4 linked regions of the Struthio camelus genome follow. The protein of the gene in region 1 interacts with the protein of each later gene in a pairwise test. Links are inferred from orthologs where the notes say so. Each region holds a gene or a part of one and is shown on either strand. Other genes may lie near its edges. The genes, in order: STAC3, ZCCHC10, MAB21L3 and PPARA.

Evidence for each region.
Region 2: the proteins of STAC3 (region 1) and ZCCHC10 interact in binary tests that used the Homo sapiens proteins (3 or more experiments, as listed by UniProt). The two-hybrid records come from large-scale screens. The link is inferred for Struthio camelus from reciprocal best matches to the Homo sapiens genes STAC3 and ZCCHC10.
Region 3: the proteins of STAC3 (region 1) and MAB21L3 interact in binary tests that used the Homo sapiens proteins (3 or more experiments, as listed by UniProt). The two-hybrid records come from large-scale screens. The link is inferred for Struthio camelus from reciprocal best matches to the Homo sapiens genes STAC3 and MAB21L3.
Region 4: the proteins of STAC3 (region 1) and PPARA interact in a two-hybrid assay, tested with the Homo sapiens proteins (2 studies listed by BioGRID). The two-hybrid records come from large-scale screens. The link is inferred for Struthio camelus from reciprocal best matches to the Homo sapiens genes STAC3 and PPARA.

What each region holds. Positions count from the first base shown.
Region 1 is NC_090969.1:147,060-155,155, forward strand, and holds the start of STAC3 (SH3 and cysteine-rich domain-containing protein 3), read left to right. Parts: upstream 1-4,837; 5' UTR 4,838-4,917; intron 4,918-5,742; 5' UTR 5,743-5,743; coding exon 5,744-5,809; intron 5,810-6,213; coding exon 6,214-6,469; intron 6,470-6,594; coding exon 6,595-6,692; intron 6,693-6,852; coding exon 6,853-6,928; intron 6,929-7,021; coding exon 7,022-7,116; intron 7,117-7,199; coding exon 7,200-7,266; intron 7,267-7,487; coding exon 7,488-7,537; intron 7,538-7,623; coding exon 7,624-7,727; intron 7,728-8,096. Other genes in the region: R3HDM2 (R3H domain-containing protein 2), read left to right, coding at 114-283, 468-612, 700-800, 1,326-1,410, 3,059-3,402. UniProt on the Homo sapiens protein: Required for normal excitation-contraction coupling in skeletal muscle and for normal muscle contraction in response to membrane depolarization. Required for normal Ca(2+) release from the sarcplasmic reticulum, which ultimately leads to muscle contraction.
Region 2 is NC_090954.1:2,126,312-2,133,785, forward strand, and holds the start of ZCCHC10 (zinc finger CCHC domain-containing protein 10), read left to right. Parts: upstream 1-4,163; 5' UTR 4,164-4,230; coding exon 4,231-4,376; intron 4,377-7,474.
Region 3 is NC_090942.1:93,554,624-93,562,216, forward strand, and holds the start of MAB21L3 (protein mab-21-like 3), read right to left. Parts: upstream 3,083-7,593; 5' UTR 1,062-3,082; coding exon 1,014-1,061; intron 1-1,013.
Region 4 is NC_090942.1:80,656,449-80,663,970, forward strand, and holds the start of PPARA (peroxisome proliferator-activated receptor alpha), read left to right. Parts: upstream 1-4,197; 5' UTR 4,198-4,447; intron 4,448-4,644; exon of another isoform or gene 4,645-4,902; intron 4,903-4,995; exon of another isoform or gene 4,996-5,394; intron 5,395-5,478; exon of another isoform or gene 5,479-5,668; intron 5,669-5,881; exon of another isoform or gene 5,882-6,040; intron 6,041-7,522. UniProt on the Homo sapiens protein: Ligand-activated transcription factor. Key regulator of lipid metabolism. Activated by the endogenous ligand 1-palmitoyl-2-oleoyl-sn-glycerol-3-phosphocholine (16:0/18:1-GPC). Activated by oleylethanolamide, a naturally occurring lipid that regulates satiety.

The sequences.
Region 1 (8,096 bases):
GCAGGGCCTTGGTAGAGCCTCTCTTCACCCCACCTGAGTACTCTTCTTCCACAGCAAGCAGCAGCAGTAGTACACAGAGCCTGGGCATTACTGTTGCTGTTCTCTCCCCCCAGGGGTGTCTCCATCAGGCCCTGGTGTGGTTGTGATGCAGCTGAATGTACCCAATGGCCCCCAGCCCCCCCAGAACCCCCCCGTGGTGCAGTGGAGCCACTGTAAGTACTACAGCCTGGACCAGCGGGGGCAGAAGCCAGGAGACCTGTACAACCCAGACACCAGTGCTCAGGTATTGAGAGGACTGGGAAGAAGGCAGCTCATCTTTTAGGAGCAGCCTGGTGGGAGAAAGAGGTCCCCCGCATCCACACTGTCTGGATGGGCTGGGAGAAGGGGGTGGGCTCAACCCATGGTGGTGAGACAGGCATGGGGCCGGTAACAAGCACTGGGGGTGTCTAACCCTCTCCCTCCCCCAGGCCAGCGCCCAGTTGAACAGCCCCATCACGTCCCCCACCCAATCCCCGACGCCGTCTCCTGTCACCAGCCTCAACAGTGTCTGCACAGGGCTGAGCCCCCTCCCGGTCCTCACACAGTTCCCCCGGCCCATGGGCCCGGCACAAGGTAAGGGGAAGGCGTGGGAACAGCACAGGGCTGGGTCTTTCCTGTGGCTCCCTTAGCCCCCTACAAATGTTTGCTTCTATTTTGCAGGTGATGGGCGCTACTCGTTGCTGGGCCAGCCGCTGCAATATAATCTGTCTATCTGTCCCCCGCCCCTGCTCCACAACCAGCCTAACTACAGTGCACACCAGGTAAGGTTGGGCCAGACCCCCACCCCTCTCTTCCTGTCCTGGGAGCAGACCAAGACCCCCAGAGCACCCCTCTCTGGGCAGAGCCCAGGGCTGAGCAGGGTAGTTCAGAAGTGAGCCTGACATCCCACCTTGCGCTCGGGTGCCCCTGGATTGGGTAGCAGGTTGCCTGCCCCATGCTGTTACCAGCCATACAGCAGGGCTGCCATCATAAACAGTTTTCCCTGGAGCCTGACACTGTGCTGAAATTTCACCCTGCTCCCAGCTTTGCCCAGGAGCGATGTCAGCCCCAGGTCCTTTGAGTGTCCTGGAACCATGCCTGTGCCCTGGTCTCATCCAACCTCCCCAAGCCACCATGGCATCATCCCAAAAGTGCCGGGAGTGCAAGGATCATCCAATGTCTCCATTCCCCTTCACAGCTGTGGCCTCATCATGTTTGGTCTTGTCTGCCCCTCCCAGGATGCTCTGTCGGCACTGTGACGCCACAGTGTCCCCTCAGGTGACATGTTACCATTTTTACTCTTTAAGGGACAGACTGGAATGAAACATGGAAATCGGGGCAAGAGACAAGCCCTCAAGTCGGCATCCACTGATCTTGGGACAAGTGATGTAGGCAAGTGATCCTCCTCCAGCAGCTCCCCCATTGCCCTCCGCCAAGTCCCTGCTGCACAGGTGCAGCTGGCACTGGCAGAGACTCCGGTCCCCTCTCTGCTCACACTGACATCCCCCAGGATCCATTGCTGGGGGTGGTTGTGGAGGACCGTTCCTGCCCTCTGCCCCGCTCCCCCGAAATACCCCCGGAGCCCATGCAAGGCCTGGCTGGGGGGGTGGGCGCAGAGCCAGTCCTGGTGAGCTGTACCCCGTGGGAGGGCAGCTGAGGAACCCGGTTAGATGCTGCCTGCACTGACCAAAGCTTTTGAGGAAGAGTGGGGAGATATTTCTGGGGAGTCAGTGATGAGCACCAGGACACCTGGGCCCTATTCCTACCTCTGTGAGGCCTGAAGTCTGGCAGGGTGTGGAGCAGGTGGGGCTGGCAGGCAGAACTCCTGGCAGCTTTTCCTAGTTGTCAGCAGAAAGCGACTGTCCAGGCCCATGAGATCTTATTCCTACCGTTGACTTCCTAAGTGACCCTTCTCTTTCATGCCTCAGTTTCCCAGTGGGGGTAGGTGTTGCACAGTCCCCATATTTGTGGGGCTTTGGGATCTTCCATGGGCAGCTGCCGGGCTGAAATCCCCAGTGGATTGTTTCTCTCCAAGGAGGAAGGACTCCCCCTGTTCCTCTCCTCAGGGCAGGAGTCTCCTCTTGCTCGTGTCAGGGAGGGGAGGAGAGGCACAGGACTGGCTATTCCCCGCAGCAAATGCAGGACCCGCTAATTGGGCATGAGCCCGACAGGCTGGAAGAGAGACAGTCTTCCTTGGCTCTCTGGAGGCTTCAGAGTTGTTGTCTCCCATGTCACCTCTGTGTCACCACCACCAACGGCAGCTGTTTGCAGGGGGCCCTTTAAGAGTTGCTTCCCGGCGAGCTGGCCCCCTCCCTGCCACAGGGAAGCAGCTGGCATGTTTGTTACATGCCGTGTTAATATTAGCAAAGAATCCGTTTAGCCAGGCCTCTGCTAAGCCCCAAAGCTGGAGTGAAGCCCCAAAGAGCTGGAGCCAGGAGGCAGCAGGGGTGTTTGGGTACCACAGAGCAGAGGCACAGAGGTTGACGTGACACTGGCCTGGGCGCAGGAAGGGATCCTCCTCGTGACAAAGCACACAGGGAAAGGTCACATTCAGCGTGCAACTGCCATCCCTGGGGTAGCCTGCCTGGGGGCAGAGGGCAGCAGTGCTGGGTTAGGTCCCCTCCTGGTACCCAGGATTAGGATAAGAAAGCAGGAGAGAGCACCCGGGAAAGCCCTAACTGGAAAGCCAAGCCCAATCAAAGGGATCAAGGAGGGCTTGGTGCTGCTAGAGCCTTGGGCAAACAGAAAATATCTGTCTCCTCTTGAAGCGGGGCACATGGGGACCAGGGTGGGAGTATCAGAAATGATTGGGACAGGCACTGTAGGGACCAGGAAGATGGGGGCAGTTTGAAGGGGAAGAAGTGACTAATTAGAAGAAATATCCCTGATGTGGGACCAGCTTAGCAAAGCTCTGCTTTCATGGGCCAAGTAGAGATGACTGCTCCCATCCCAGAGCTGGTGAGGAAACCGGACATCAGCTCCCACCATGCTGTCACCACCCGAGGTCCTGTGGCCAACACATGCTATCTTTCCACTGCAGTTCTTGGCCGAGTGCTGGAGGTGACGGACCTGCCCGAGGGCATCACGCGGACAGAGGCTGACAAGCTCTTTACCCAGCTCGCCATGGCTGGTGCCAAAATCCAGTGGCTCAAAGAGACTCAGGGGCGGCGTGGAGATGGGGGCGGTGGGGACAACAACGGGACTCCAGAGAACGGCAGGCACACTGACCTTGCTGCCTTATACACCATTGTGGCCGTGTTCCCCAGCCCGCTGGCCGCCCAGAACGCCTCCCTCCGCCTCAACAACTCCCTCAGCCGCTTCAAGCTGCGTGTGGCCAAAAAGAACTACGACTTGCGGGTGCTGGAGCGTGCCAGCTCGCAGTAGGGCTCATGTATGGGCACAGAGCACACTGGACTGCGGGCGCTTCCCTCTGCCTTCTCTCTTCCTTTCTGCCCTCCCTTCCTCTCACCCTCCTTCCTGGATATATTTATATGGACATAATTAAGAGACAAGAAATTGATTTTTTTTTTTAATTTTTGGAGTGATGCCCATGCCCGCCCACCCTACCCTGTGTATATTGTTTTGTTAAGCACTGTGTTGAACCGCACATACAGGTGTTGATTGGTATGTTCACTGCACATTTTATTTAATCTGATTATTATTTGGGGTTTTTTTTTTGTTTTTGTTTTATTTGAGGGGGGGGTGTTTTTAAATATAAAAAGAAAACTTGTCCGTCACTTTAATGCTGCTTTCCCGTTCTCTGCTGGCGCCAGCGCTCGGTGCAGGCTGGCAGCAGGGCCTGTCCTGTCCCCTTCCTCAGGGTGAGATGGCAGTCAGGGCATACACAGGAGTGCGTCCCGGCACGGGGCCTGCTCCACCCCAGCATACGCAGAGGGTGCGTCCTCGTTGCTCTGCGGAGGCTGGGAGAGGAGCACGGAGCATTTTGAGCTGGGGCTGGTCACCCTTCAGATGTTCATAGCCTCTTCTTCCCAGCTGCCGGCCCCGGGCTGCCTGCGATGGCAAGGAGGGTATGCCCCCAGCTACGTTCCCTGCCAGGGTGAACACATTTCTCCTGGGTGAAGGGGAGCTGCCCTTGAGCTGCTAGGTGTCCTCCTACCGCAGGGGTACAGGAGTTGGGCTGGCACCAGCCTCGCCATGGCGTTGCATGCGGCAGCCCTTGGAGCTTCCTGCGGTGTCCAGAGCCAACCTTGGAGCATGGGTGCAGGGGGAGAGGTAAGAGCTGCTTGGAGGGTGTGGGGGGCCTTGGTGCAAACCCTGCCCCTCTGCCACCCACAGCCAGGCAGGGACATAGCTCCAGGGGCTCTGGCACTGGGGGCCCACCCAGCTCCTGGGATCCAGCCCCTGCTGCGGGGCAGCACAGTAGGGGTCGGGTCCCCAGCTCGCTCCTCAGTGGCTGCTTCCTGTGGGGCAGCGGTGAGCGTTGAGCTGGTGAGCGTTGAGCGCGGGACCCTTGGCGGCACCTCTTCCTTCCCGCCTGCAGTGGCCTCCAATGCGAGGGCAAACAGGACAGCAAGGCTGGAGCGCTCAGCATGCCCCCGCGCTGCTGCTGCCCCATGCCAGGGGTGGGAGGGTCGCTGTGACGCCCAGCAACCCACTAACGCAAATAGCCAGCAGCTCCTCTCCACCCCGCTCCCCTCCCGGCTCGCGCACGGGCTCCAATTTCTCGGTGTCAGCCTCCGCCAGCGCTCAGCTGTCGGTTCCCCTCTGGCCTGTCACTCGGGTGCTCCGCAGCGCTGGGCAGCTGCCCCCTCCCTGCACACCCGGCCCTGGGGCTGGGGGCTCTGTGGCCCAAGGGGCCTCGGCGCCAGCCCCCCGGCAGCAAGCCCGCCACCAGCTTTGCGCGGTGTTTCATCACGGGACGCAAGCTCTGAACGTGGTGTAAGTGCAAAGCGCGGCTCCGCGTGTGGCTCCCCTTACCCAGCAGCCACTGACCCTGCTGGGCCCCTGCGCCACTGCTGGACCCCGGACCCCCCAGACCTCCCTGCCGAGCCTGTGGCCCCAGGAGTCCCCAGCCCCCCCCCCCCGCTGTCTCCTGCATGCTTGTCCTGTCGCTTTCCAGGGAGGACGGGGGTCTTGTGTTAACGGTAGCACCAAAAATAGTGACGCCTGGGTGGAAGGGCTCTGAGGATGGTCGACAGACAAAGGTGGCGTCAGGTGGGTTTTGGGGGTGCAGGAGCAGATCTGCTCCCTTGGTAGCACTGGGTTTCCATGGAAGAAAAGGCAGGGCTGTGCCCTGGTGCCAGACAGCGCCATGGGTACTCTTGTTCTGGCCAGCCAAGTGTGGCACCATTTGCCGTTTAATCTCGAGACGGAGGTGTCTGGGCAGAGACGGGCACATGCAGGTAGCTCAGGGGCTGCTGGCAGCCACATCCGCGAAGCAGCAGGGACGGTGAGGAGCAGCGCTGTGGTGCTGGGCCGGGAGCAGAGCCCACCACGTGCACAGCCCCTGCAGCAGGGCTGGGCAGCCTCCTGAGGGGCCAAGCCCGGCAGCCCCCCGGCAGTGGTCTGGGCCGGTGCTGGGGCAGGGCAGCAGGGAGCTGGGTGCAAGTAGGGCAGAGGGAGGCACTGGCCCGGGAACTGCTTTCCATCCAGCCAGGTCTGATCCCCGGGGGCTGCCGAGGCCACAGGCCGCTGCTGCCCTGGCTGAGGCTCTGCAGTGGGGGCAGCCCCAGTCGAGACGATGTCTTTGTCTTCCCCTTGTAGCATGACAGAGAAGGAGGTGCCAGAGCCACCAGCTTCATCTGCCTCAGGTGGGAAACCCAAGAGCCGGGTAAGTGGATGCCTGCAGATCAGCTTGGGTGAGAGGGGGAATCCACCTTCCCCACATGGTCTCTGCCTCAGGCCCAGGACCCTCTGTGGGGCCAGGGGTGCCCTGGTGGTATCTGCTTGAGTGGAGCACTATATGGGCATTGCCCAGCCTAGCTTTGCCCCAAGGTGCCTACATCCATGTGGTGCCCAGGACTTGCAACCTGCCCCTTGTGGGGGGACCCCACTAGGCAGAGAGAGGGTCCCTGTGCCCACCACACTGCACCCAGGACATCTGGGTTCTCCCCCCACCTGGTGAGGGAGGTTGTAGGTCAGAGCAAAGGGGCTGGGAGCTGGGCACCGGCTCCTTCCTGTTTTCCTCGCCCCCTGCGCCTGCAGTGCGCCCTGCAGCCTCTCCTGCTCCAGCAGCTGCAGAAGCTGAAGCAACTTTTCCGGCGAAAGCCCAAGGAGGAGACGGCACCGGAGCCACAGCCGAATGGGGAGCTGGTCAGCCCCTCCGGGAGGCCCATCTACTACATCTATGAGGACGAGGAGGAGGAAGAGGAGGAGGAGCCCGAGCCTCCTCCCGAGCCCCAGAAACTTGTCAATGACAAACCCCACAAGTTCAAGGATCATTACTTCAAAAAGCCCAAGTTCTGTGACGTTTGTGCCCGCATGATTGTCCGTGAGTCGCGGGGGCACTGGGCTTGGGGCCACAGGCTGGGGGCCAGGGCTGGGCCAGGGCTCCAGCCCTGCCACGCCTGCAGCCCTGGGGTCACATCATCTCTCTCCCCCCCCTCCACCCACCAGTCAACAACAAATTTGGCCTGAGGTGCAAGAACTGCAAAACCAATATTCACCACCACTGCCAGTCCTACGTGGAGATGCAACGCTGCTTTGGCAAAATCGTGAGTGCTCATGCCGGTGCGGTCCCGGCCCTGTGGGAAGGACCCGGGGGCAGCACCACCAGCTGGGCATCTGCCCTCCAGGTCCTTCGCGCCCACCCATTGCCCCCTTAGCTCGCCAGTGGCAGGCTGTGCTCTGACCCCCTCCTCCTCCTCCTTGCAGCCACCAGGCTTTCGCCGAGCATACAGCTCGCCCCTGTATAGCGACCAGCAGTATGCCTGCGTCAAGGAGCTGCTCTGTAAGTACTGACTTCATGCCTGGGGCGGGCGGTGGGGGGAATCTCCCCACACCCCCTCACTGAGCCCCTCTCACTCCATCTGTGCCCCAGCAGCAGCCAACAGGAGCGACCCAGTGTTTGAGACCCTCCGGACGGGCGTCATCATGGCCAACAAAGAGCGCAAGAAAGGGCAAGACGACAAGAAAAACGTGAGTGCAGGGTGGGCCTGTTACTCTGAGCCGGCCTGGGCGCCTGCCCACCCCTCAGCCCCTGACTGCTCTCTGCCTTGCAGCCGCTGGCAGCTATGATGGATGAGGAACCCGAGGCCATGAAGGCAGCTGGGGGCAAAAGCGAGGGCGGTGAGTGCTGCGAGCAGGCAGGGCTGGGGCTGCAGGGCTGTGCTCCCCCCGAGGGTGCGGGACGGGGAGCCCACTGGGGTGGGCTTCACCCCGAAGAGGGGCCCTAAGTCCAGGTCTCGCCCCAGGGCTCTCTGCAGGCACGGGAGGTCCCCAAGGGCAGGCTGGTGCTGCGGTGGGGAAGAGCAGCACAAGAGAGGTGACCCTTTTTCTCCTGTTTTCAGGCACCTCCGAAGGGGACAAGAAGGCGGAGAAGAGCACAGCAGATGACAAGGTAGCCCTCTTCCTCACCCCGTACCCAACGGTGCCCGGGCTACCCCCGGCCCCCCAGCCTCTGAGCCCCTCTCTCCTGCCCCCCAGAACAAGAAGCCACAGCAGGGGATGCGCAGCGGCTATCTGCAGTCTCACTACTTCGTGGCGCTTTATCGCTTCAAAGCCCTGGAGAAAGACGACCTGGATTTCCCGTGAGTTCCCAGCCAGGACGGGGGCGTGCGCTGGGGAGGGGGGTAAGTCTTCACCTCAGCAAGGCCCTCGGGCCCAGAGGGTGCTGTGAACGAACAAGGGCAGAAATCAGCAGTGCTGGCTGCGGTTTGGGGTTTGTGGCTTTTCTGCCCCGATTAGCCGTGCAGAGACAACGAGCCCTGGCTCTGGCCGAGCCACCTTCCTCCCCAGCTTCCAGCCTTTGTGCACAAACCGCATTTCCGAGGCTACTGCTGTTTTACGTGGCACTGCCGATTTCTTGCACCCCAAGCTGAGGCCAAGCTGCTCACGCAAGGGACCCGTCCTGCCCATGAGCCCAGGGGCTGTGCGCACCCCCCAGGGACCCCCCCCCG
Region 2 (7,474 bases), on another chromosome or scaffold:
TTTTCTCTGCAAAGAAGCAAAGCAAACTAGTCAACACTGACGTACTACCTTAACGTATTACCTTGTGTAAACTCAAAGTTAGGGAAGGTACAACAGAGTAGAGGCAATATATTGCAGACAGGGTGTGATTCAAGTCTATTTACTGTATTCCTTATCACTGAGGTTTTTTTCTGCCCTACAGTCTTGCCTGAATAAGGACCTTCTGTGTTTCTCTCTCCCTCTCTCTGCCTTTTATTTTTTACTCATGCTGAAAATGCTAACAGTTCTATAAACAGGAATATGGTAATCAGTGTGAATGTCTTTTTAATATCTATGTCCGCTTTGGATTGTGCTTTAATTTCTAATTTTTTCAGGAAGGAATATGTGATATGACTGGCTTCTCTTTGGATATTTTCTTAAAGAGAGCTTGGGAGGAGAATACAGAATTTTAAAACGTCAAGTAACATTGTCTCTAGTGCTCCTGGTTTGTCATTATTTTCGTTCAGCATTAGCACTATTAACTACTTGACTGTTAGTCATTTTGGAAGATTCATCACAGTTTTGGGTAACCGGGATTAGAAGACAGCAGCCTTGGCAATGGAGGTTTAACCATTTATTCATGACATAAGCTCTTCCTAAGCCGTGGAAAGGGAGGTATGTTGGTTCTGACTACATTTCTCCTGTTCGGTGTACAGTCCCTGAACAACTAACGTGACACCTTTTCTTCATAAGCAGTACGTTTGCACAGAAAAGTGCTGGGGTGAAACCGTAGCGTAAACAGTCTCTCTGATGGGCTGACACACAGCGGCTCAAAGTCTGTGTCACTGAAGCTTCAATGCTTTCCCCAGATTTGTCTCCTGTGTCGTCTGTGTACCTCCTCCCTCTGCTGTGTAGAGCGGGGCACATTTTGGAAAGTAATTTCCTTGCCCAGCATATTTAGAAACAGGTTAATGATACTGCAACTTTAAATAGCAACCTAATGTGCAAAGGCAGGATTTATGGGCACAGTCAGTTCATTGAGTAGCAGCAGCTCCCCTGAACCGTCCCCAGCCCTTGCGAGTGAGCCCAGGGCTGTGCAGTGACTCTGCACATTCAGTCTGGAGGGCGCTTGAAGTCACCTTCTCTGGTATGTTAATCAGTGCCCTGGTGAATTACCTCTGAACGGAAAGAGAGGCTGTGAGATCCTGTTTTGGGTTCAAAAAAGTCTGCAGTAACCTGCAGACTTTGTAGTCACAAGAATACTTTCACATTGCCTCAGGTAGAAATATTTTAAGTGGATTGTTTTAATAAAAGTTATATCTTTGAAGTCTCTGTATAAGGAAAAGCCTATCTACTCTATGGAGAATTTTTTGCTTCTGAAGTCAGAAACCTTGTTATACTGGCAAATTTAGGGAAATTTAGCTCTGCTGCATTAACACACAGGTACTAGGGACAATCTAAATGGTATTAAGTATAACATAGATGTTGTTATCAGTTTATAATTTACTCTAAGATTTTAAGTGATACTCAGGTAAAAAAAGGATCAACAGACAGGAATTTATTATAAAGCATAGATTATTATAAATACCTACTCTCAGCTATTTCGCTTTTCTGAGAACATGTCTTAGAACAGTCCTAAAACAGGAAATTCTTCTGTCTTACTTTCTCCAATAAAAGTGAGATGCCAGACATCAAGATTCAAATACTGCAGCCAAACTCTATGCTGCGGAGAACAATCATTTATAACATGCCAGGTATCACACATCAGAATTTAGCTAAGCTGTCAGATATGACTAATCACAGGTTATCACAGAGAATCATCAGAAACAGGACGATGATTAGATACCAGACAAAGTGCCAGATATAGAAGAAAATAGGATGCACAGAGTAACAGCCACTAACCTAAGACATTACAATTACAGTGTTTGGGGACAGGAACTACCATAATACTCAACAATTAGTCACACAGTAATTAGTTCTGGTGAGTTGAAGTCATTTACATCTAACAGAATCCCTCAGTAAAGATACTTACCTTTCCAGTGAGATATTTAATTGATGCCATTGAACTCAGCAGATGTTGTTGTTACCATCGCTGTGATTACCAGTATTACGTGTGACACGCAGCAGGAAGTTCTGGCTCTAGTATCTCCTGGCTGTGTCCTGATCTTGCACCATCAGAAGTGTAGGACCTCTCTGCCTCATGCCTGCTAATTCAAATAAGACCTGGGATACTCATCATGTTAAAGCATCAGATTTATCAGAAAAGTAGTAGCTTATAAATGTTGTGTTACCTGAAAGAATGATGCAGAAGCATATTGATTGTTGGTGGAACACTGTACAGGAGCGAAAACATAGCACAATCTTATTGCTATATTAAATATGACAGATAAATATATTTTTTCTTATATGTCTGTGACTTACTTTAAAATATAAACTTATATAGGCATGTGTTCTCACTTCTGTTACATTCCTATTTTCCCTCCCCACAAATTCTGTTGTGCAATGTTCCCACCCTTCTACCTTGACTTGAGATAAGCGTAAGCTTTTCTGAGCAAGGGCTGTCTTTTATTGTATTTCTACAGTTCCTAACAGAGTATGGTCCTGATCCAACTGGTACAGTTGGATTCTAATTAACTTAAGAAAATATAATGCATGTTTTTGTATTATATATTAAATGAATGCCACCGACTCACAGGAAGCACACTTTAAAAAGCTACATAGCTGATAATAAACCACTATAAATTGGTAGCAGTCCATAAATTTCAGCAAATGTAAAAGCCCAGTGGAACAGCTGTTTAACTAATGTCAGTCATCCATATGATATGATAGTGCTGAATGAATACTGAAAACGGCTAGATATGATGTGCTTCCAGGATACTAATGTTAGGAGAAATCCCAGCTCAGCATTAAAAAATCTGTTTCCTTGAGGATTTTTGTAATGCAGATCCATATATTATTTTAACACTGATCTCATGAGACAACGATAAGTTTCGATACAGCAATTAAGAGGCAAATATATTAAACCAAATTCCCTGCTTCCCTGAATTTAGGATAAGGGCTGCTCTACCTGGGCCAGCTGGCAAAGACTCCCACGGGGCTGCCTGCCAGCTCTGCACAGTCAGAAAGCTCAGCCACTGCTCTTCTTTTCTTCTGTCCCTTGACCTCTCCTCCTATGCCAGAGGCTGTAAGGAGGTGACGTAGGAGCCAAAAATAACAGCTGCTGTTGGCACAGCTGGGGGACTTCACCCTCTTGGGCTGAGTGGGGTGGAGGAAAGACATTTGCCTTATGATTCCTAGATATATCTGAACTGTATTTACCGTCAAACACAGAACACATTGACTCATGCAGGGTCAACATGACTTATCAGCATCTCCAGTCTCTGAAAAGTGATTCGTATTTAATGTATTATTGAGCCATGGTTATGCATCCACGTGTGTAGCAGAATTAATCTTTTCAGTTATTCTGAGACGTTCTTTTTCTATCAGTGCAGGGTATAGAAACCTGAGCTGCTACAAATGAATGTGCTGGTAAACGCTTGCAACGTTTTAGCAGTACTAATTGGTTAAACTGCTCCTTTCTGAGATCTAGCTCTTGCGAACGTTTCTTGGGCTCCTTCATGGTATAACCAGAGAGCTATTACGCTTTCAAACTTTTCACGTACCTAAAGGTTCTTGGGAACTCATAGCAGGCTACCTTTAGGTGTGCTGGACTGCTTATGTGAAGGAAGAAAAGTAAAATTGCCCAACTCTTGCAACAACAGACGGGCCAGCTCAGTGGCTCAAGAAATTTTTCAGCGGCACCATGTCACCGGCTCTGTGGTTAGCGTTAGGTGACGGGATGGCATCAGGGGCTCTGCGGTGGTGCTGGGTGACGGGATGGGGTCGCAGGCTCTACAGGCTCTGTGTGTTGGTGCTGGGTGACGGGACGGCGCCAGGGGCTCTGTGTTGGTGCTGGGTGACAGGATGGGGTCGCAGGCTCTGCAGCTGGTGCCCTCCGGTCATAGTGAGGGATGGGTTGTCTGCTGCTGGGTTTAGATATTTCAAATACACCCATCCTAAGAAAAAGAAAAGCTATTAACTGGGAGGCAGGTTCCTGGGGGCGATGAAGGGTGGAAGATGGCGGCGAGGCCCCGAGGCGGCGGTTGGCCGGGGCCGCCGGGGCCGGCACTTCCGGCATCCCGCGGGCACCATGACAACGCGGGAGGAGACGAGACGAGCGGAGCGGCGGTCCTCGCGGTGCGTCCTCTCTGGCCGCGGGATGCCTCGCTCTCCATGGCAGCGACGCCGTCCTACCCAATAGGGAGGGAGGAGGAGGAGGAGGCAGTGGCCCGGCATGCAGCGCGGCAGCCCGCCTCACTTCCCGCCCGGGCCGCTAAGATGGCGACTCCCATGCACCGACTCATCGCTCGGAGACAGGCGTGAGTGCGGCGGGCGGCCGAGAGGCGCCCCGAGGCGGGGGAGCGGCCGAGGGGCGGCTGCGGAGCCGGGGCGGGGGCTCTGGCCGTGGGTTCCCCGAGCGGGGGCCTCCCCTGCCCTCCCCCCGGCTGTGGGGCCCCCCGGCTCTCTTTTGGGGCAGTTTCGTGCAGAGCAGACGCCCTTCACGGGTGCCCCGCTGTTGGCAGCGTGGTGCTGCGGGTGGGTAAGGGAAACGCTCCCAAGTGAGGCTTGGCTCATCCTGTTAACCGGGCTGAGACTCTCTTCGTTTCGGAGCTGACAGGGTTAAGACCGTATATGGTGTTTTGGGCTCCCTGAACCTGAAGGGTCCCGTGTTTTTTGTAAGAGTTGCGGAATTAGTGATTTCTGGCTCCATCTTGCGCAAGGTGGAGGCTTTAGAGGGACTTGAGATAGCAAACATAAGCTTATGTTTGCTTTCTTGTTTAAAAACAAAACAAAAAACCAAAAATTGTGTGTGTCCTCTGCAGCAGAGTGCAGGAGGTTTTCTCCCTCTGTTGTAGGGAGTTATGGTGATTTAAAGAATTAATAAAATCATTACAGTGAAATGATCAAAAATGAAAGCAGGATTCCTGAAAAGGAAAGGCAATCTCCCCATTGACTAAAACTTTCCCTTTCGTTGCTGTTAACGCCAGTTAGCAACTATTTGGGAAAAGGCTGCCTTATGGGTTTAGCATGTCGTCCCTTTCAGTGAAGCGTATAAGACCTTGTGATGCAGGTAGGCACAGGTCTTATCGTGTCACTCTTGTCAGTCAGGTGTGGGGGGGACCAAATAATTTCTGGCTTCACATTATAATATGTTTAGTAAATTACTAAAAAAAAAACCCGGGGTGGGGAGGGGAGAAAGCAAGCACCCTTTACTCAGTTATGCTTATTGCTTTTGGGTGATTCTCTAAATATCGGGGAGATCTGATTGCCAAATGCTGAAATGAGGAAAAGCCAATGTTTTTTGATTACTGACATTAAGTAAAGCAGATGCCTGTGTTCTACTGCCGTGTTTTGAGTTTTTGGGTTTTTAGGGAGGGGGTTTGTTCTTAGGGATTTTTTTGGCTGATCATAGCATTAGAAACAATATGGATGGTTTTTGCTGCCTCTTTACTTTTTCATTAGCTAGTATAATTCGTTTCTTACTTTCCAATGGAAAATATACTTGGAATGTCAAAGTACTTGCAGAATACTTGTTTTTTTTAAGTTGCTATTTTATATTGGTCATAGAATGATTTCTTAGTGCGTGTTATTTCTCCATGTGCTTGATGAGAATTGCTGAGTTGTACGTCTGCCAAGACTTGCTTCTAGGTTGTGATAATTGATCTGTGTGAAAAGTTTGTTTTAGTCTTGAGCTTTTAATTACTGTTAAAACTTGTCAGTGTTGACACTGTCTTTACAAATCTGTAGTTCTTGAGCTATTTTGATCTGTTCTTCCTAATTATTAATAATTAATAAGTAATTATTACTTCCTGTAATTGCTTATTATATTGCTTTTAGGATTTTATCTTAACATTTTAGTTTGCATAGAATTGTCTACATCGGTCAGGTGAATAGCATTAAAGCCTTGGAAATGCTGAATTATATTATTGTTGCTTTGACTGCCCATTCTGTTCCTATGGTCTGGGCTGGCCTGAGATACAAAGCAACAAAACGTAAATGTTTTTCTATCTTGATTAAGAGGATGAGAGAGTTCTCGTTCTGCTCATGTGTAATGACTGCATCAGAGTCAGAAGTCCAAGGCAAGAATTACACCGGACGCTTTCCTAGTAAAGAAATAAGTTACCGGTTTTGTCCCAGTTTTCTTTGCAGTGGTTTAATACTAGCAAAAATCAAAATGTAAATGTAGTTTGTGTGTTTAAAAAAGTTTTTGTTGCAGTAGTTCACTTGTATTTGTCTTCTCAGTGTAAACTTTCCTACATGCTAAAGCTTGCTGCGTTCTTGTGTGAATGAATAATAGGTATATAAAAACAGTAACATGTTTTGAGCATACCTGACGAAGTGAAACATCGTGTTTCTGTCCTTAGTGTTAGGGTACAGCCTTAAACCTACCTGAATGTTATTTGGAAAGGAAAAGAAAAAGGGATGATTTTTGTGTGTGTGTGTGTGTATGAAACTTAAATCAATTTCCCTGCAGCACATGTGGTATACTTCATTTATTTTAAGAGCAGGCCCACAACTAAACATTTTTTAATTTTATGAAGCCTTTCAAAGCACCTGTTACATTATTTGTACTTTAACCTCTTCTTTCAAGGGTGCTGGAGTGTGAGGTGGTTAATGTTTGGGCATCCTTAGATGCACCCGGAGGAGCGCTGCTCATCAGCAGCAGTGTTTTAAGTATAGTTTGTAACCATTCAGGAATATTTTGCTTATGTTTGTCTAAGTACCACACTTACAGTCTGTTGCTTATCCCTTTGCTATCTAGAACCTCACTTGTTCTACAGTTTTATTTGTTGATTGAAATGAGCTAAAGTTCTGGTCTTTAAAAACCTTTTCTGTGTTTGTTTTTTGTTTAACATAAACAAGTGGACTTATGGTCTAAATGAGGTACTATTTTGTTTAAGGCAAAGTGCATCTTGCACAGTGTGACGGTTATTCAGATACTCTTTTGCAGGCATTCAGAAGAGTTTTGTGTATTGTTCAAGATGTCTTTTAGGACACAGGAAGAAGATGGAACTTAAACCATTCACAAGACCTTGTGTGTGGGTTTTGTTTTTGTTTTTTCCCCTCAGGACTAAAAGTGTTGTTTCCTGTTGAAGTCAGAGTTAATTGTGCAGAGTTGATTGCAAGTTTAATTAGTTCTTTAGTCCTGATTTACATCAATGTTTCTAAGGCTAGACTATGAAGCCAAATAAACTTGGCATTGAAAGCAGGATGGATGTTCATAACAGGACTAATCAAGATACAACACAGCTGTTACAAGGAGCTAGAGTTGAAGGAGACTGCAATTCATACGTTATCTTGAAGAGCAGCACTCCACCCCTTCTGAGGGCAGAGCGTTCACTATTGGTCTGTCACACTGCACTCTCTAAATACTAAATGTACAGTCGAGGAGCTTCCCCCTATCTGAGACAGAGCT
Region 3 (7,593 bases), on another chromosome or scaffold:
CTTCCCTCTGATCCCTCCTTTGTAGCCCTGCTTTATAAATCTTCAGATAAGTGTTCGCTCTTGTAGCTGGCTGACTAGGTTCTGATGGCATGATCTTCCACGGGAAAATACACGGCTGAAAATGAAGGTTTTTACAGAAATACACCTACTTGTAACCAAAACATTTCCACAGACAAACTAAAGCTTTGCCCCGAGCGCCTTCATGATACTGGAATATGTTATCCTTTTCAGAAAATAAAGCTTTATAGTTTTTCATTTTGAAATGGTTTTTCACTTCACTGTCTTGCATTTTGTAGGGGAAAACAGACTATCAAACAGAAACCAGCTAAACACTGTGATGAACTATATCAGCTTTAACAAAATAAAATATTACAACTCATTCTGAATAACTTTTAGTAAAAAGAATAGTTTCACTGATGATTTTTATTTTACCTAATTTCATAGTGGAAAAAACATTAGATTGCTGGAACACTTCATAAAATAGAAAATGTGGTTCCCACTTGCCTCCACTAATGAGACTTAAGCTATTTTAGTGCTGGTATATAAAGAAGTATCCTTAGCTGAGGTGATAGACTGGTGGGTGAATTCTGTGTCCGTCTCAGCCGCGTTCCTACCTGCATCTTTCTTAGAGGCAATCCCTGTTGTTGCAGTTTTGGTCTCGTCTGTATCAAGCTAAGACCATTGGACAGGGAAGGGAGTAAGGACCATACCTTAGATTAAGACTTTGCAATTATAGCTAGTTTCACATCTAGATTTCAAGATGGGGAGCAAAAACTCAAGATGTGAAGAAAAACAGGACAACCACCTTAAGAAGTTAGATTATCAGCTGAGATCCCTGGCAACATTCTGCAGTGGAAACCTAGAAATCTCACTAGAAATACAATTCTCATGAAATTTCACCCAGTCTCATCTCATAAAGGAAAACAGCAGGCAAGCAACTAACTCTTGAGATTAGCACCCTTCAGAATCAACACCTAGCGTGGGAGATAAAATCTGGACAGATAAAGCCTTACCTTGCTTTGGATGTAAATTTCTACTTCTTCATCTGTGAATGGTTTCATGGCAAGATTGTCTTCGCTGTTCTCTAAAGTGTGAATTCACTCCTCACTCATTCGCCTGGCTCTGGAAGTAGAGGGACATTCAGAGCTTGCTGCTCAGAGCCTTCTTGCCCTGTGAAGCTCACGTCACTTAATTCCTCTGTGAATGAAGAAGAGGAGAGAAAAGCAAGGAAATATGCCTATTTTCTTCTGGTTGGAGTTATAGTGGTGACTTCCAGCTGCCTAGGAAAACTAGGTCCAAATATTATTTGTTAAGCTCAATCATTATTATTCTTATTATCACTACTTTTAAATGCTGGGACTTACAGGAACTTACAAAAATAGCCCAGTTACTGTTTTGTCTCTGGGCAGATCTAGAAGCGTGTTTCAGAGTCACTACGCTCGTGCGCAGCATTATTATTCTGTGTGCCACAAGTACTTCCCTGCTCTCTCTAGCCTTTTACTAAACCATTTGTTAAATACTCAGCTACCCCTTGTTGACTTCAATCCACCCACTTTCCTTTTGAAACCGCATGGGTATTTTTACACTCAGATCACTTATTTGGGTTGCAGTCTGCAGTCTCTGCTCCTGTCTCCTTATATCTCCTCTCTCTCTCCAACTGTATTGACAGTAAATATCTTGCAGCCTGTCCCCTCCTGTAGTTTGCTTTGCTCCCTTTACAGTAAACAGACAGAAAACTGTCGCTAGTTAGCTGCCAGCAGCTCAGCTAACAACCCCACATGCATCATTCAGAGGGAAAAACAATTGATCAGGCCTCATTGATCCAACGAGGGTTGGTGGATTTTAGAAGAAAGGATACATCAGCACATGGAAAGGAGTGACAGAGTATAGAGACGATATTCTATACTGCAAAGCAGCCCTTGCTAGGGACATGCCATATTTTAGTAAATAGGCACATGCCATATTTTAGTAAAATCATTATTTCCCCCTGGAAGTTGAACTCACTGATATCCCTTGACTGATTCATTAGCTCTACAGCAGCTGAAAAAAACAGCACTTGGGTAGGCACTGGGTGCTATCTCAGAGCAGGCTCTTTGCTGCTGGTCATTCTTTATGACTGTTGTTCCTTATTAATAGTGAAATGCTACCTACATCAATGGTGCACCAGTACCTGCAGGACATCCGATCCCCCAGAATCTACAAATCAAACCTTTCTCCGTGTCTCCCAGGGCATCTTCCATTGTCTTTTTCCTGAGAGATTTGGTGACAGGTTCACAAAGACTTGTAGGGATTTCCTTCCAACCACCTTCCACGGGAGTTGGACACTGAAAAAGATTAGGCCTCCAATTTTCAGGGTCCCTACCCCATCCTTGTTCACTTCACGACTTACCTTCCACCTTATCTTTCACCTGAACATTTAGCAGCGTACGTGACCTTTGCTGGGGAAGCCAGGCTAGTGGCAGGATCTGAGAGACAGTGCATGGAACAGTAGATTAGGAAGGATTTGTAAAGCCAGGTTGCATGGGATTAACCCCAAATAGAGTGTGCAAGGGAGGAGAAGGAGCCTTTTAAGTGGTCAAGCTCAGTTAAAAGTATGCCCTTATTACATTAATTCCCATGCGCCCCCTCAGGCTGCTAGATTTACATACAGAAGTCAAGTTCCTTAATGTTTCTGGTACCATACACTACTTTAAAACCCAGAACCTCAGATGAGTGTTAGGAAGCGGGGAGAGGTTAAGATTCTCAGTTTCTTGCACCTATATGGTCTCTTCTTCTGACAGCTGTCCAAAGCCTCAGGTGCTGGCAGACACATGAAGAAGCAGCTCTGGTCATTTTGCTTGTACACAGTAAGATACTTGATCTTTATCATCCTTTTCCATTGGGAAACATATCTCCAGGAGGGTCTGGATGGTCCCAGCTCCCCTTCCCATAGTGAAGGAGGATGGCATTAGGTCTTGGGCAAGGTTTGTTTCGTTTTTTTTAATGTCCAAGCATATTTAAATCCAAGTCCAAATTTATGTTCAAATCCAAGGACCTGAGCAACAGTCCCACAGTCCCTCCCTGCTCCTGCTATCTCATGAGAGTAAATAACGTTCCCTTAAGATCATTGCAAAAGAAGAGAAGGGGGAGAAGGCTGAGAAAAAAGAAACATGAAAGACAGTATCAAAGATAGTGTCAATAGCAGGTTCTTCTCAACTCTGAGCACTCCTTGCTCCAGCCATAAGAAACTGCTACTTCATAATTTGTTCAGCTCTAAATAAATAAATAAATAGAAAGAAAGACAGACAGACAGACAGACAGACAGTCTGTTACAAGAACTGGCTGCAGAAGATTGTAGCAGATGGCAGCTGAATAACCTGCACTGAGTCCCTGTGGATTTTATCATGCTACTCCTAGGATCAGAAGATTACTGTTTGACAGACAGAAAATACTACATCCAGCAAAGGCCCTTACACCAACAGCAAAATACAGTACAAATTAGAATGGCAAAAGCTGCTACTGCAAAGGGAAAAGCAGCTTGGTGTTACGGGAGACAGCACCCCATCTTGACCTCACTGAGGAATAAACACATCACAAGGGCCTTCATCTGTTACATGAGCACCACATAGCACAAAACACAGGAGAAAAGAAGAGGAAGACCGCCACGTGGGAAGGGAATATTAAGGTAGGAAAAAAACTGTATCAGGAGAAAGGGAGAAAGGACAGTGCAGAGAGAGAAACTTCTGCAGAGATTAAAGGGCATAGACCCAAAGCATGAAGAAGCCAAGCTTCTCCAGTATCATTTGCAGAACCATTTCCAGGGTCACTGCACTGAAACCTTCATCTATCTTCAGTCAGCAATCATGGCTTTTTCAGTTCGCCCCACTCAAGGCTCAGGATATCCAGGATTTTTTTCCATTAACCACTAAAACTGCAAGAACAAACCCATGCTCCAGGTCCTCCTCAGGGAGCTTCTCTCCTGACGGTGCTTATGCAAGAAAACGGTAGGAAACTACGTAGGAAAATTAGTCAACTATATTACATCCCTCCTTTGTTTTATTTCAGTGCGTCAGTGCCCAGCTCATAGTACCTCTAATGGAGTTTAATTTGTGACTACTTTCCTTTGTACCTAGTGAAGTCTGAGGATTTATTTAGTTTTCTCAGTTGCTCACTGGTATTCTTCAAAGCGGGTTTAAGGATTTCCTATTACCTCCAACTTCACTGAATCTGTGATATTTCATCTTCATTCTTGTCTTGGGCAATATCCAGAACTGAATATGATTGTGGATCTGGGAAATCCACAGAAAAATATTCTGTGAATACATACCTTGAACAGTGTTAGATTCACTCTTGTATCTCCTGAAACTGCAAATTACTGATGCTTTCCATGCTTGTCTGATTTTCCTCTTTTCACTGTTTAGTTTCATAAATATGACAAATATGCCTCAAACCTACAATCAAATATCATCTGAACTCTGAACTGCACAACAAAAAGCCATCAACATCATGTAAATAATAGCAGAAGTATCAGCTGTACGGGGAAGTCCAATACTGTGGCATTTTCTGTTTGACAGCTATCTGGAAAAACCACTCATATGGAACAGTAAGCACGTATTAAAAAGCCTCTCCTAAATCATACAAATGAACCAGTCCAATGTACCACTTGTGGCTCACAGAGGATCTGCAGGGTAACAAATAAGCCCAGTTGAAGATGCTGCCTTCCAGATGAAATACAACTCTTAATTTGCAGTTGCTAATGATGCCTCATCACTTTTTGCTCTAATTACCAGAAGCATTAAGTCTAAGGCTATTAAGGCACTGGCTGAAGCTGTACTTGGCGCATGAGAGACTACCAAAACAAATCAGTCCAGTAGATCTAATAATCCCTGACAGTCCTCTTGCTTTCTTAAACTGCTGCCCCATTTCTCCCCATTAGTGGATTAAGTGACTGTACAAAATAAGTAAGTGTAGCTTGGATCCTCTATAACATTTATGCTCTAATGGTTTTTAGCAGTGACGCTTCGGTATTGTTCAGAGTCACCATTCAGAGGACACTAGCATAACATAATCAGGGCTTTCTGGGGCACAAGTTCTGTGAGTTTGTTTTTTCACTTTGTCTTTTAACAAATAGATATGGCAAAGAGGATGTTTCAATGACAAAAGCCTGGGATGGACTAGAGGGGAAGTGCTGCTAATTCACTGTGACAGATCAGAATCACGCGTGGATGCCAAATTGAAATGCTCTACTCATTCCTGAACCTCACTGATCGATACTTGGCGGGCTCAAAAATGCCTGCACTGCTTGTTCTCATTGCCACACAGTCTCACACTAGCCTTGGGCCTGCAGTTCACATCAAGTAAATAAAAGGTTTATAACCTTTCCAAACTAAGCAAACCATTGACTGCATTGGATCAGGTCCAGTGGTTTATCAAGACTGGCATCTTTTCTCCATTCACTGGCCAGAACAGACATGTCAGAAAAAAAGCAACTAGCTTTTGCTGGAAAAGGAGTTATCTCAACTTGGGAAGAGTTTTGAAATTCCCATCAAAATAATTTACAACCTGAATCTTTTCAGGCAGCAATTTGGCACTTTCAGAGAAAGTATTCGCTCCAGGATCGCTAGCAGAGGATGCAGGAAATTCTGAAAACTAACTGAGATTATGATGCTGTTGCCCACCACTGACCAGCCTCAACTGGCAAATTCACAAGAATCCAGTCAGTTGTGCAGCTGCCGTTATGAAGCAGGCCACAGAGTAGCAAACATAAAACATATACCAGTGCTTCCTAGCACTTATTGCTAAGGTCTTTGGCACCCAGTGTGGTGAGCTACTCAAGAAGCCTAGAATTTTCCAAGTCCATAATGGTCAGCGCAGTGGATGGCACAGGGGCCAGGAACCTAGGAGTCTTGGCAGCATCAGCTGCCAAGGTCACTCGCCTGACATGCTGAGCAGGAAAATCGACATTTTAAATTCTAAACCCATTTGCAGTCCTCTGGAAGTTTATTGAAACAGGGCAAGTTTGGTGCATCAGCAAGATTTAAACCAAATATTTCACCAGACTGTTTCCAAGCATCTGCAAATGATATTTTTCTCTATCACTGCTTTTTCTCTTAACTACACATTCATCAAGAGCATATATGGGAGAGGTAAGAGTCTTCACAAGGTTCTGGGTCCTTGTGGCTCTGGAGTGCAATAGACCCAGAGCCACTGAGATAAATATTAATATTACTATCAATTAAGTTACTTGGTGCTTTAAAATTTCAGTTACCTTGTATGGGCCGATCTACTGTAAAAGCTGTCAGACTAAACTTCTTGGCTTGTGCCATCTCACACACACAGCCAATAGATATCAAACATACAGCTAATCAGTAGTCCCAATCAGACCCCTAATCAGATACTGAATTGCGTTTTGAGGAATGTGAAACACCTAACAAAAACACAAAGAGATATTTTAATTGATTGACAAGGGACATGTGAAGTCTCAGCAGCGTTCAATACTAGAGAATTACTACAGATAATTCCCCTTATTCTTGGCTAGCACCAACCAAGAGGCTGAAGTTGATGCAGATTTCTAAACACTTACATAGTAGGGCATGTTTAAAACCCCATGTTTAAGCTCAAAGGAGGGAAAGAAAAAACAACACTGTTCATGCAATTGCTTTGGGCAGTACGGGGTCAGGTGTTTCTTTCTTGTGGGATGCCAAGGGCTGCTACCCCAAAGGGATAACAGCAAGAGAAGGGAGGCATGGCAGATGGTAAGCAGAGCATGGTACATTTTAGTTAATACTCAGCAGAGCAGAGTAACAGGCCAAGCAGGAGATTACACAGGAAGACTCCTCTAGGTTCACATGCACCCAGAGGCACAGCTTTCTATGACTTCTTTTTTGTTATCATCTCCAGCATCATTAACAGTGAAGTCTCTTCAGAGCTTCACCTGGATTTATGGGTGCTTAGCCTGAAGGGGCAGGAAGTAGTGTTACTGGGGAGATACAAGCTGTTAATTGGCTGCAGGTTTAAGGCTCTGAAACTGCTAAAAGAGAAGAGATGGAGGTGCTTAAGTATGGGGCAGCAGGGAGGTGCAAGAGGGCAGCTTGATGGCCGTATGGCACAAAACTTGTCTGAAGGGTGAAGGGGAGCGAGTAACAACAGATGGTGATAATTTAGAACAATTTTACCCTGCCTGAGCTAACTGGACAGTGAGGATAGGATAGACAGGAGAAGATGGAAACAGGTTAAAGAAAGGTTTTGTCAGCATACCGTTAGCAATGGCTCCTGTAACCAGGTGCATGGCAATCGCATGTTTCAGATGGGGAAAAGGGAGGGGAGGAGAGAATCATTAAGAGACTATACAGTGAAGGGCCTTGCGGGTAGGCCTGAGGGAAATAGTTGCAATGAGGTAAAAATACAATATAGACAAGAATGCGAACATCCACAGAAGTGGGAAAAGAGACACTCATTAGAAGACACACAGGCAACAAAGCAGATCAAGAGATTCAGCAGACACCAAGCGGAGTGAGTGAGAACCTGCCTCATCTGAGAGCAAATCTCAGCAGAGGCTTCACTCAAGTCTTTTCTAATAATATCTAGACAGATCAGATCATGACCTGCACTGCT
Region 4 (7,522 bases), on another chromosome or scaffold:
CCGTAAACTATTTTCACATTTGAAAGATTCCCCTACAGTTCCTTGATGTCCTGCAGAAGGTTCAAGTGTGGGCTCGCCTTCAGAAAGAGTGTGGAGGGGGTACTGTTTTCTCCATCTCCTTTAATTTACTCTCAATGTGTACTTCCTCGATCAGTGTAAGAAAGGTGCTTGTTCACCAGTAGCAGTTTTTCCTTAGAAGAATACTTTTTAATTGAAATGGAGAAGTGAAAAAGATGTAATGATGGGTGGAGAGCCTGATCACATTAAGAAAAATTTAATCTAACAGTTCTCATCATTGCTGCCAATGTACCAGCATAAAAAGCATATAAGTTATCAGAGAAATTCTACACATTGTGGGCTATGAAGGGTTAATTGATAAGTTTAAAGCACCATCATCTTATATACAACTGTTCTTACTCTTCTTGCCACAGGAAGAGGGGGATTGACATCTGGAATGTTTGATCTTGATACTCTGACAGATAATGAGTTATTTCTCTAGTAAGTAGAGAGTAATGAGTAATGCCATTTCCAGACAGGATATTTCTGATGGATAAAAATGATCTGAATGATTGAATCCATATCTTACACTGATGAAATGGCATGGTAAACATCTCTTATGAAAGTGAAATACAAGTAACGACTTTAATCACTTATTTTGATGGAAAATGAAATCTTGACATAGATTTAAAAAAAATCTGATATTGAGATAATTTTGTGGCAAAATAGACTTGTGTAAATGTATAACCTGAATCCTGGTTCTATCCATAACCTGTCATGTCGAAATGAGGCAGATGAGCCTGATCTAATTTATCTTAAAATGTTTTCATTTATCACTCTTAGTCTTAGAACTTTGGTCTAATCCAACATAGAGACATGTACCTAAAACCAAACCTTAAAGCCAGCTTGCTCCAGAACAACAAAATGAAGCAGTGCAGGAGTTTCCCGAAGAAAACTGCTGCTACACAAGGACTGAACTGTAGGCATAAAGGAGGGTCAGGGTACATAGATCTCACCGGTCTCCTCTGCTTCACCAGTCTGGGTGTTTTTAAGGGGGTTGATTTGGAGAGGGAGAGCTATTTTTTTAACAGTAATAACAAAAACAACAATAAAAAATACTGTGTTTGCAAGTAACTCACATATTAACTGAAATAAATCAAATATAATCTACTTCCGTTCATTATTACCTGGAGCCTTTGAATTCAAATTATTTTGACCAATCACAAATGTGCAGGATTCAGCATGCACAAAAAGTCTTAAATAACGCTCTGGTGTTTTCTATATGCTTCCGTTAATGACGTCTATTCATAAAACTTGTTCTGTTGTGACAGTCTGGCCACTTAAATTCTTTGAAGAATAAGAATGTGATAAAATTAAAGTAATTTTACTTCAGTAAATAAATGTCAGTTCATTAAAACTTCAGCAGTCAAAAAAAGAGAAACAGGACCAAATATATGGCATTTCAGCTTATAAAATGCTGGGTACTATGTCTGGTCTCTACAGTTGCTGCTGAAGTATATACTTATATGGGAAGGATCTATTTTACTTAAAATAATGACTTTGTTAGGAAGGTCCTTCATGATGACACAGCAAAAATGAGGCACATTGTCTGTTAAAATTCCTATCATCAGATCAGCAGGAGAAACCACAGCAAATATTTGAACGCAGGGTCAGCCCACTTCCTGCATTTTGCCAGTAGTTGGAGGAGGTGGTGAAAGCATAGCGAATTTTTGCTGTTATAGTCCATTTTCCAAACTTATGAATGAGTTTGTGCCTTGTCCTGAATTGAACTGTTAATCTACTTCTACAGTCATAAATGTTACAATATTCAGTATATTTTGATTAAAACTTGCAAAAAAAAAACCCCACCCCATTTTATTACAGAAATGCTACTTGTCACTGTTAAGATCTATGACAAAACCAGCTGGATACTGGAAAGATGGAAAATCAGCTACTGCATAAGTCTGTCTGCCTGTTTCACAACTGTCAATCTATTAAGCAATATTAATATGATTAGTGCATATTAACAGAATAGAACACTAATTAAAGCTTATTTCATCTAAAAGCCTAGTAAGCAACCTAATTTCAGATTTCTAAAAGTTGGCACATTTAAATAGCTAATGGATGTTTATGATACTTAGTGTGTTATTAAGATCTGAACTGTGATATGAATTTATGCAATCAAATCAATAATCTACATTTTAAAAGGGCTTTATGTACAAAAGGATTCAGTATGGTCTCTTGACTAAAGCTGTTAAATGTGAGATAAGTTTTCCATCTTTATTATAGGTATTTTCTGCAACACCAGCCATATTTATGGACAAAATTTATGTAACTTGTTTAAGAGAAAACAGTTCCAAAATAGGACTTAACAAACTTCCTCTCCAGGTCTTGGATAACACAGTCACCTTAGCTGATTCTGCTGGAGACATAGGTTGTTAAGAGTCTGGTTATCAGGTAGTGTGGGATGGGTAATCTATAGCTTATAAACAGGAAACAGCCCACAACTCATTCTAAATCACAAAAAATTATTTTTGTATTTTTACTGCATTTTGGGTTAATTTAGTGTTACTGTGTGACCCTGGGCGAGGTATATGAAATGTCTATTTGAGCCTCAAAAAGAGAGCTGATCTCTTTAGCTAGGAAAAAGCCCACAGTGTGGAGGTGTTCTCACTAGAAATGACTAAGTCCCGACCGTGGTAGATCTCTCAAATTTGTAACTTCCAATGGCAAAAGCCCACAACCTTGCTAAGTGTGTGTGTGTGGGGGGGGGGGGGGGTCCCCCCGCCCGGGAATTTCACTATAGTGTTCGTACAATGCCATCTTTGGTAACAACAGTAGAAGTATGTATGCAAAATGACCACCTAAATCTCGTCCAAAAGTTCAATACGGAAATCAAAGGAAAGTGTTTGTGCTCTCCACAGCTTCCTTGACAAAGCAAGGGGGAAACATCTTTAAGGGCTGATTACACATGCAAATTAAAACATTATATATATGTTTTTTAACTGTATTCTTTCTGTTTGTGTATATTTTCAGGAAAAATAAAATAAAAACAAGAAAAGAAATAAAACCGAACGGAATGAAAAGCACACCTGCTCGGATAACATCTTTTATGGAAATAGGCCCTGATCCTTGTTGCTGGCTGAGCTGTATTACACATCGTCTGTGGGGTGGGATATGTAGGTGTAAACTTGGACGTTAACTTTTTAAAGCAGCTGAATGCTTGTGGCATTGGGTGTTGGCCTGCCTTGGGGTAGAAATTGGAGCAGCACTACTAATCAGTAGAAGTCAGCTTGTTACCAGAGCCAATATAGCATTTTGAAATATTTTGGAAAGAAACTTGAATTACTGTAAATAAGGGCTTTCGTTAGCTTCTATTTTCTGCTGTTGATACTATGTTTTATTGATCTATACTGAGATATGCTTTCTGGATGTTTTTCATCTTCTGTCATTACTGATGATTCTACATTGAACGCTCTAATGTGCAGATCTGTGTGTTTGAGCTCAAGGTTGAGAAATTTATGGAATTAAATATGATGCTTGCAGTAGTACAGACTGAGTTTCCAGGACAGAGTTTCCTTTTCTTCCTTTCTGGTCCTATGTGTCTCCCTTCTGAATGGCCACAAACTATGATTCTGTGAAAGGGTAAAAATAAGCAAAACCTATGTGTGTAGGCTTGCTAGGCATAGAAGAGGTTCATATCAGAAACATCTGAAATAGGTCATGTTTTCTCGTATTGGCATCCACGTAAAGACTGATCTAGTCAACAATAAGGTGCCTTTTCTTTCAAATGGAATGATAAAATAAAAGTAAAAATGCAATTAAAAAATTGATGATGGCCAGGAGGATAATCAAGAAATGTGATATCCATGAAGCAGTCAAAGAGTAGAAATTTCTGTTAAAAAGAAAGAAAAAAAAGGATTATCTTTTAAAAACAATGTATTTATACTTTTGGGTGCCTTTTGAAGACCTTCAGTCCCTGAGAGACTGAAGAAATCAGTCATGTACAGACAATTTTTCTTCAGGATTTTGTGTTTTGTGGAGGATTTTGTGTTTTGTGGGTGTGTGTGTTGTTTTCTAGGGGTTTTGTGTGTGTGTGTGTGTGTGTGTTTGTTTTTTGGTAGCTGTTCCCTGTAATAACTTTCTAAACTAAATAATACCCCTTAAAAAAAAAAAAAACAGCTGCAGGTAGCCAGCAGCCTCCATCCGGCGCGTGGGTCAGGAGGATGCCGCTGGAGTGGGCCGCCCTGTCAGCCTGTAACGCCGAGCCGCCCGGGCCGCTGCTGCTGTGCCCCAGGCAGCACACCCAACCCGGTGGTACCCCGTTTCCTGACGGTGCTCCGCATCAAAGGCGAGCCCCAGCTTTTCCAGTGCAAGCGGCCCGGACTCGGGACGGAGCTGGGTCGGCGGCTCGACCTCCCCACCAACAGCGGACCCTCCCGCGCCACAGGTTTTTAAAAAAAAAAAAACACATAGGTGCCCGGGCAATGTCAGCGCCCTGCCGGCCCGCGGCGGGCCGAGCCGTGCCGGGGCGGTGAGCCCTGGGGAGCCCCCGTCCCCCGCGAGCGCCCGCTGCGCGGCGGGGACCAACGGCCGCCGGGGACCAACGGCCGCCGGGGCCAGCGCGCGGCGTGGCGGCGGAGGGGTGGGGGGAGGAGGGAGGGGACCGGCGGGCAGGCGCTGGGCGCTCGCCTCACGCGTGACCGGGGATGAGGCGCCGGCCCCGGCCCCGGCCCCGCTACCTCTGCGTGTGACCGGGCAGCGCTGCGTGCGCCGCTCCTTCACGTGAGCGCCGCGACCTGGCCGCCGCGCTCCGCAAATAGCTCGGCGGGCGGATAAGAGGCAGGCAGAGCCAGCCCAGACTTTGTTCCCGGGCAGATGCCTTCGCCCGCTCAGCCAGCGCCGGTTTGTCTCTTGACTCTCTCGCGTTTTCTTTGCCCTTGACCGAAGCTTGCGGGCGGGCCGGGCTCGGCTTCCCCCCTCCTCCCCCCGCCCCGCGCTCCGGGGGGCGGTGAGCGTCGCCGCCGGGGCCCTGAGGGGCGGCGCGGGCGGCCGTTACCGCGGGCGACCGCGGTGCGCTGGCGGCGAGGGCGGCACGGGACCGTACCCGCCGGGCTGCCCCGGGCGCGTTTTCCCGTTGGGCTTTTCCCTCTTATTTCTTCGTTTTTTGGTTTCAGCTCATCGCCGGGTGAGTCTCCCGCGGGGTGGGGGGTGGGGGGTCACGGCGGCGGGGGGTGGGGTGCGGGGGGCGCGCGGAGGCCTCCGCCCTCCTCCCCCCTCCACAGGTTTCTCCCCGCGGAGCCAATAGCAGGCGGCCATTGTGGGAGGTGTGTGCCGCGACCTCACTTCCGGTACCTGTCACCCTGCCGCCCCGCGTCAGTCAGACTCGGGATTGGGGTACTTCTGCCCCCCCCTCCCTGCCCCGTTGGGGTGTGCGCGCTGGGCGGCCGCCGGCGGCGAGGGGGTGCGCCCGCGCTGGCCGCGGCGGTTGGCGCGGGCGAGCCGAGCCGAGCCGAGCCCTGCGCGCCTCCCGCGGCGGATTGCGGCCGGGGACGCGGCGGCGCCGACCCGACCCGGCCTGGCCCTGCCCTGCCCCGCTCCGCTCATGGGCCGCCGGCGTCTGCGGGCAGCAGCGCCGAGCCGCCTGCCCGCCGGCCGGCAGTAATGCACGGTATTAGCGTCGGCAGCGCAGAGCCTGCCTGCGTCCCTCGCTTGGGCTTCGGCGGGGAGGGGGCACGGGCAGTGGGAGCGGGGTCTCTGTCTCGCTAAAACGGCGGCAGTTGAGCTAACGACTTGGTCTTCCTTCCCTCCCCCCCCCCTTTTTTTTTTTTGGTCGTTGTGTTTTGAAACGTTCTGCAAACCCGTGGTGGCGGCGGTGGCAAAGGCGAGGAGAGAGAGTTAGCTGGTTTGGGGAGATGCTTTAGCCATTACTGTTGCTGCGCTCGGGCTTCACGCCTCCGCTTTGCCTGTGTGGGGAGCCGCGGTGGGAGGCGCCCCGAGGTCACAGGGGTTAAAGAACCAGCAGGAACCAGCCCTGGCAGAGGTTAGTGTTTATGGCTAAAGAGCAATCTGGGAAACTTTATGGGGAGACTTCAGGGTGTTGGGGGAAGGGGAAGAGAGAGAGGGAGAGAAAGAGAAGTCCTGTCTTTTAAAAAGTGCTTTTTTGCTGTTGCAGTATCTCCTGAACACAGCACATATAAATTGTCCTTACCTAGTTTGAGAAAGCAACATATGCGCCGGATGGAAGATAAGGTGTTTGGAGGTTATCCTTCAGACAGGTTGTGCTTTTACCATGCAATTGGCCGGATTTATCCTTGGACGGAGGAGTGGGTCAGTGGCAGCTCCCCCTAGATTTGTTTTTGTGGTTTGACAAGAAAAACGTGTTCTTGATTGTCCCTATAGGCCTGTCCACTTGTTTTCTGAAAGAGTGGAAAAGATAGCATTCACATAGAAATGGAAAGAAGTGTTAAAAGGTCTTGTTTTTAAGTTGGAAATGGCCTTGTCTATTCATATTAAGATTAGCCCCATCTCACTGGTGTGAGTAGCTATTTCTAAGCTCTCAAATGGAAGATGTGTGAGGACAGGATTATTTGAAATAATGATGTCTGACACTTCTGTGGCATTGGATGTCATAGAAGTACTGCACACATGAAGAAGTTGCATAAGTTTTGCTGGGAAGCAAAGGTTTCATCAACCTGTTCTTGTATTGTAGAACACGAACAAACTTTCTTATAAGTATCTAACACTAAATATCGGGCTGAAACTTGCTTTTTTTTTCCAGGCAGCAAAGTCAATCCTTTTCAAATTTTGAACCGCTATGTTAATACTGAGGATACCTGCTCTCATACTGAAACTGACAGCAGTGGTGGTTCCTGTGATGTGGTCACAAGTCCACTCAGAGCTAAACCAGTATCATAATTTTGTTATTTCCCGTGAGCTATCAAACAGCCTTTGGCTGCTAGTTACTTTTAATGGCAACTTTTTGGATTTAAGTAGCACAATGTATTTCGGAAGGATGAGTGTGTGAACTGACCTTATCAGACGTTTGTAGAACTGTGTAGACAGCAGGCTCTTTTTCTTTTTCCGTGTATGGAAGGAGCACTTGACATCGTCCAAAAAAAAGTTCTTATCAATCTCCTGATGCTTTATATTGAATCTCATCCTCTATAATCAAGTGGCCTAGGGAGTTTTGATTACCTATTATGATCTTGTACGTCATGAAAACTTGTATTTTTCTCCCTTGCATTTCAGTATTTCTTTGCTGTCATCTTTTTTTCTGTTTTTATCCCTCAAAAATGCAATCCCCTCAAAGGGAATAGTGAATTTTTAACCATGGAAAAAGTCGTTGCATTGCAGTTGTGATTTTGTATGGTTATGTTTTAAATATTACAACATATTTAAAAATTCAATATTTAAAATATTTTAAAATATTACAGAAGATGGTAATATCCTACAGCAGTGTAGGACACATGGCCTAAGATATTCATCTTGTTCCAGAAAATGGATTATAGTGCTCACTGTTGAT